Saccharomyces cerevisiae S288C: one gene and its partner. The protein of the gene in region 2 purifies or fractionates together with the protein of the main gene of each other region. This does not show direct contact. Each region holds a gene or a part of one and is shown on either strand. Other genes may lie near its edges.

Evidence for each region. The genes of interacting proteins can lie anywhere in the genome.
Region 1: the proteins of SIT4 (region 2) and ACC1 purify together in Saccharomyces cerevisiae (affinity purification with mass spectrometry; 4 studies listed by BioGRID). This does not show direct contact.

The regions. Positions count from the first base shown.
Region 1 is NC_001146.8:659,628-663,385, forward strand, and holds the start of ACC1 (acetyl-CoA carboxylase ACC1), read right to left. Parts: upstream 1,748-3,758; coding exon 1-1,747. Other genes in the region: protein transporter TIM23, read left to right, coding at 3,286-3,758. UniProt on the Saccharomyces cerevisiae protein: Carries out three functions: biotin carboxyl carrier protein, biotin carboxylase and carboxyltransferase. Involved in the synthesis of very-long-chain fatty acid synthesis which is required to maintain a functional nuclear envelope.
Region 2 is NC_001136.10:368,076-371,206, forward strand, and holds SIT4 (type 2A-related serine/threonine-protein phosphatase SIT4), read left to right. Parts: upstream 1-1,695; coding exon 1,696-2,631; downstream 2,632-3,131. Other genes in the region: STP4 (Stp4p), read right to left, coding at 1-136. UniProt on the Saccharomyces cerevisiae protein: Involved in the dephosphorylation of the large subunit of RNA polymerase II. Is required in late G1 for normal G1 cyclin expression, bud initiation and expression of certain genes that are periodically expressed during late G1.

The DNA of each region.
Region 1 (3,758 bases), on a different chromosome or scaffold from region 2:
AAATGACGGCAAGAGTTGGATCAGGCTTTTCAGCGGTCATTTTATGAGTAATCAAATCGTCCAACCAACCGGTGGTAATAGTGTTATCCTCGAAATCTTCAGTTTCCAAAAGTTTGATCAAGTATTCCACAGTAGTTCTGAAATCACCCCTAATGGACAATTCCTTCAGGGCAACAACCATGTGTTTCCTGGAAGCTTGTCTATTTTCACCAAAAGCAAAAATATGGCCGAACTGAGAGTCCGAAAAGGAGTGAATATTACCATTGTTACCCACGGAGAAGTAACCCCAAACATTAGAGGAAGAACGGAAGTTTAGTTCATGCAAAGTACCACCCGATGGCTTGAATCCATCGTTTGGATCTTCTGATGTGATACGACAAGCGGTACAATGACCCTTTGGAATAGGTCTTCTTTGTTTCTTGGTGGCATCTTGAGTTTTGAATTCGAAATCGATTTCTGAGGCAGAATGAGGATTCATACCATATAAAGTTCTAATGTCACTTATTCTATGCATAGGGATACCCATAGCGATTTGTAATTGAGCTGCAGGTAAGTTAACACCGGAGACCATTTCCGTTGTTGGATGCTCGACTTGTAATCTTGGGTTCAATTCTAAAAAGTAGAATTTTCCATCATCATGAGAATATAGATACTCCACGGTACCGGCAGAGACATAACCGACTAGTTTCCCCAGTCTGACGGCAGCCTTTTCCATCTCGTGAAATGTTTCAGCCTTGGCAATTGTAACTGGTGCTTCTTCGATAATTTTTTGATGACGTCTCTGAACGGAACAGTCTCTACCGAACAAGGAAATATTTGTACCGTACTGATCTGCTAGCAGTTGAACTTCCAAGTGACGCGCTCTACCGGCCAACTTCATGATGAAAATGGGGGAGCCTGGAATTTCGTTGGCTGCCTGGTGGTATAAAGCGATGAAATCTTCTTCACGTTCAACTTGTCTGATACCTTTACCACCACCACCTTCGGATGCCTTAATCATGACAGGAAAACCAATACGCTTGGCCTTTTGTAAACCATCTTCAGGAGAGGTACAACAACCCTTTTGATAGATGTCATCGTCGACAGAGACCAGACCGGTTTTCTCGTCCACGTGAACGGTGTCAACACCGGTACCAGACCATGGAATACATGGGACTTTAGCACTTTGAGCGACAATGGTAGAGGAGATTTTATCACCTAAAGACCTCATGGCGTTACCTGGAGGCCCAATAAAGATGACTTTCCTCTTAGACTGGGACAATTTTTCAGGCAATAGTGGATTCTCGGAGGCGTGACCCCAGCCAGCCCATACGGCGTCTACGTCTGCTCTTTCGGCGATGTCTACGATCAAGTCTACGTTAGCGTAGTTGTTATTATTAGTACCACCTGGCACTTCAATGTATTGATCGGCCATACGGATATATTCTGCGTTGGCCTCCAGATCTTCTGGGGTGGCCATGGCGACGAATTGGACGGTTCTGTCATCGCCGAACGTCTCGTATGCCCATTTTCTGACGGATCTAATTTCTTTCACGGCGGCAATACCATTATTTGCTATCAGGATCTTGGATATGACCGTGTGACCACCGTGACTCTTAACAAAGTCCCTTAACGGGGACTCCTCTAGTTTATCTACTGTATTGAGGCCAATGAAATGACCTGGAAGTTCTGTATGTCTTTCTGAGTAGTTTGTAATTTCGTACTCCATCTTCTGTGGAGAAGACTCGAATAAGCTTTCTTCGCTCATGGTAGAAACTTGATTTTTTCTAATTTTCTGCGCTGTTTCGGGAACGGAAAAAAATTAAGCTAGAAGACGAATCGGTTATTATACTATTATATTTGTATAGTATAGTAGCGTGTCGTATCGTATCGTGTCGTATCGTATCGTATCGTTAAAAGAAAATACACGAATAAATAATAATATGTGGAGAAGAAAAAGGGAAGTTTCTTGTCTCTTGCTCTGAATCTGAATTCCAATTCAAGTTCAAATTGTTCTCTAGTTTATTGTCCAAAAATAAGGATGAAGCGGGAGGGAAGGGCAGAGGGAAAAGTTCGTATAGTAGAATGAATAAACTTTTATAAACACATGCACCGATCACTCACAGAGGATAAAAAAATGGCACAACAAATATATATATATAGATGCAAATGGCGATTGCAAATTAGGGAATTGGCTTTGTTGTTTTTTATCTTCAGGTAAACTGTACGAAAGGGATAAAAAGAGTAGAATAAGGAAAGGAAAATTGAAGAGAGCAGAACAATTGTAGAACCGATAACAATTGTGACAGTGATTGTGCTAGGCTATACTGTGCCAGAATACGACTGGGAGTGCTGTTCTTCTTATATATCTTGGCGCTGATTGAGCGTATAGCCTAGTTCACCAAGCAGTAGAGAGAGTGGCAATGAGCGGTTGAATTTCGACTGCGACTTGTTGGCACAACGCGCGCGCGGCCGGGCCATGTGAAGATTTTAACGGGCGCAACGATTCGGTGGGCAGTGGAAATTGTTGGGCGTTGTTCAACAAGATGAAGCATTCCCCTTTGGATAACGTCAACGCATATCGGGCCAACCTACAGGCAATGAGCGAAAGCGACTGAAGCCGAGAGATGTGCCCGGAGTTTGTTGTTCTTGTTCTTGTTCTTGTTCTTGTTCTTCTTGACGGATGATACTAGTCGCAGTCGTGGTGACTCTGGAGGGCGTAACGGCCGTGATGCGGCCTGAGCTCACTGTGACGTCGATGCATGCGCGGGTTCGTTGCGTTCAGGCCTGACGGGCGATTCCCCACCAAGTATAAGTGTCATGATATACGCGGCACCTGAGCAGCACATTAGGTCCCAATTCAACCCAACATATATAATGGTTCTGTATGGGTATTTTAAGTGTGCAAACAAAATGTGAGTTACCCGGCTGTTTGCTAGTCGCTGCGTACGAACTGGCTTGCTAAAGCTGGGTAAAAATAATTTAATCGCAAAAGGAAGAAAAGGAAATCGACGATTCATTGAAAAAAAGAGAAAATACTGAAAAAAAAAAGACACCGACAAAAAAAAGAGAGAAAGGAACCTTTACGTAGAGCAAAAGGGAAACATTTGTTGCGTTTAATTAATAGAAATAATAGGTTATTGCATTCGCCCTCCATTGCAGAAAAAAAAAAAAAAAAGACCATTTTCCTCTTCTACTCTCTTTGCCTGTACATACTACACGTTATAGCGTTAACAAAAGCAGATAGAAAAAAAAAAAATAACCAAGATAATATAGGTATACTTGTTTAACAGATCACACACAATCATGTCGTGGCTTTTTGGAGATAAGACACCTACCGATGATGCGAATGCTGCCGTGGGCGGCCAAGATACAACCAAGCCTAAGGAACTATCGTTGAAGCAGAGTTTAGGTTTCGAGCCAAACATCAATAACATAATATCAGGTCCTGGTGGAATGCATGTCGACACCGCTAGGCTGCATCCTTTGGCTGGTCTAGACAAGGGTGTGGAGTATTTAGATCTGGAAGAAGAACAACTATCCTCGTTAGAAGGCTCACAGGGTCTGATCCCTTCCCGTGGGTGGACCGATGACCTATGTTACGGTACCGGTGCCGTCTACCTGCTGGGACTTGGTATCGGAGGGTTTTCTGGTATGATGCAGGGTCTGCAGAATATTCCGCCCAATAGTCCCGGAAAATTGCAATTGAACACCGTCCTGAATCACATTACTAAGAGAGGTCCCTTCTTAGGTAATAATGCGGGGATTCTCGCGTTGAG
Region 2 (3,131 bases):
TGGTGCCATTGGGAGAAGCCGTTGGGTTTGGCATTTTTTCTGGAGTATCTATAAAGGGAGGGTTTCTCCGTAAAGACATCGTCTCATGGGACATTACTGAGTCAATGCTTGATGCAAAAGATGATGATACCAGCATAGGGGAAGCCAAAGAAAAGAAGTAACAAATATTCCAAGCGCTCCAGTGTTACAGCTACTGCAAACCAAGAAAAGCAACTGACAAGAATTAGATATCCTAATCATAGGGCACCGAATTTACTTCCATGTTTTTTCCAGCTCCACTTAGAATATATATATAAATGTATAAAGACGGAAATATGCGCTTTTGAGAAATAGACAGAATAAAGAACGCACTGATGCAGCTTTAACTTTTAAGAAATGGTGCTTTTTTTTTCGCCCTCTGTTCCTCTGCGGATGGGAGCTATCAGTAGTAGAAAACAAAAGGAAACGAAGAAAAAAAATTGGAAAAGGGAAGAGTAAAACAGCGAGGAGAGCATTACGTACATAAAATAGGTTTAAGTAACCATACCACTAACAATGCCCCTAGGAAGTGACAATCTAGAGATATCCTTGAGAGTTAGCCACGGGCCGTAAGGGAAGGAAAAGACCAATCTAGCAATAAGCGCATGGGGGGTTTCCGACAGCCACTACCAAATTGTGTGGCAGCCAAGCGAGAATCAATGCGGCTATTTGAGATCTGTTCTTTTTCTATTCAAAGACTCGAATGAGGCCAACGAAAGAAGTAGTAAAAAAAATCCGGGATTCCCAATTCAGGTCATATCCGGCAAGACATTCCCGGATTTTATTTTCCTCAATGTGCTCGTGTAAGTGTCGGCCCGGAACTTGATTCCCCCCGGACTAATTAGAAGTTCCGAGAACGCGCGCAAGCCGTCCCGCGCGTAGAAGGCTAAAAAGCAGCCGGAGGAAAAAAAATAACGCAAATGTGGGCTCCCCTTCCCCTGTGCGGCCACGTCGTGCCTCCCCACCATTTGCCTCATATGCGGCCATTGCGTGTGGTGTTTTTTCTGCTCTTGTCACTGATTTTAACTACCGCGGGGTTTGACTAACAAGCAAATTGCAAAGCCGCGGCGGTTCCCGGAAAAAAAAAAAGGAAGGCCACGCTATTGGTAACCATGAAGTGTAAGGCGACGCAGGAGAGATGAAAAGAATGAAATTAAAAGAAATCCAAAAAAAAAAAAAAAAAAAAAAAAGAAAAAGAAAGAAAAAGGGGGAATAACACAGCCGCGGGTAACATGAAGCGGCGCGAGCGATACTTCCGTGTTAAGTGATATCCATCTTTCTGCGGGTAATAAGTCTAGTCAAGTCCGCTGTATTTTTTCTTTCGCTCTCGCTCTCTTTCTCTCTTCGCTCATGGAGCGGTAAAAAAAAAACATGCATATCGAGTCGAAGCCCAGCAAAATTAAAAAAAATATAGCCTTCAGTGGAAACCCAGTGATGCTCGCACACAACGTAATGGAGCATTGAAGAGCTACAGACGGTAGATAAAAAAGAAAAAGAAGCAATACAATAGGTTATTGCATACTATCATAAGCATACAGATAAAGGAGTTCTGCACATACGGTCCCTCTTTCTCTTCCTATTATTCTTCAGTCCCCTCCTCGCTCTTTTTAGATTCGACATTACAAGGTGAAATACTATTGAAGCTCAAAAACATCCATAATAAAAGGAACAATAACAATGGTATCTAGAGGCCCCGACGAATGGCTTGAAACAATAAAGAAATGCCAGGCGCTAACTGAAAACGAGATGAAACAACTGTGTGAAATGGTGAAAGAACTTTTGATGGAGGAAAGTAACATCCAGCCGGTACAGACCCCCGTTACTGTATGTGGAGACATACACGGCCAATTTCATGACTTGTTAGAGCTATTCCGTACGGCGGGTGGCTTTCCTGACGATATAAACTACATTTTTCTCGGTGATTACGTGGATCGTGGCTACTATAGTCTGGAAACTTTTACGCTTTTAATGTGTCTGAAAGTCAAGTACCCGGCAAAGATAACTTTGGTCAGAGGAAACCATGAGTCCAGACAAATTACTCAAGTTTACGGGTTCTACGAGGAATGCCTGAATAAGTACGGATCTACCACCGTATGGAAGTATTGCTGTCAAGTTTTTGATTTCCTGACGCTGGCCGCTATAATTGACGGTAAGATCTTATGTGTCCATGGAGGGTTATCTCCCGAGATTAGAATGCTCGATCAAATCAGAGTCTTGTCAAGAGCTCAAGAAGTGCCACACGAGGGTGGGTTCTCGGACCTGCTTTGGTCAGACCCTGACAATGTAGAGGCTTGGCAAGTTTCCCCTCGTGGTGCAGGATGGCTCTTTGGCAGTAAAGTTGCTAGAGAGTTTAACCACGTTAATGGACTGAACCTTATTGCCCGGGCTCACCAACTGGTTATGGAGGGGTTCAAGTACCATTTTCCTGAAAAGGACGTTGTAACCGTGTGGTCCGCGCCAAATTACTGTTATAGATGTGGTAATGTCGCGAGTGTAATGAAGGTCGATGAGGATCTGGAACCTACTTTCAAAATTTTCTCGGCTGTTCCCGATGACTACATAAGAGAATCCACGGCAAACCATAATAATCAAAGAGCCGGCTATTTCTTATAACACGACGGCATGCCCTCCCTAACTCGACGAATAAAAATAATTTTCACAATAAAAAAAAGACTACAAAAATCAGAAACTTTTTCATTACGCCATTTGCTACGATACGATACACAACAAGCACATTCTAAGAGCATTCCATTTACTATGGTCAAAATGACCAAATAAAAAATTAAAAAAAAAAAGAAGGAATGAGAACTAGTAACTACATATTCAACAATTGCAGTTTTCTTTTCCTTTTTGTCCTTGTCCTTTCTTTCCTATTTATATATATATATATATATATATATAATACTACTATGTTATATTACATTATATTATTATCACAATAATTATTACGTTCATCGTGCCGAAACGTCACCTCCCACGGTTTGGATCTATTGAAAGAGGGTGGAATCCCTGATAATAAAAAAACTTTAATCAACACTCGGGAGGGGAAATATAAAAGACTGGCGCTACTTAAAGAGCTGATTCGCCAAGGCAGAAAAGCATAACCATATTAA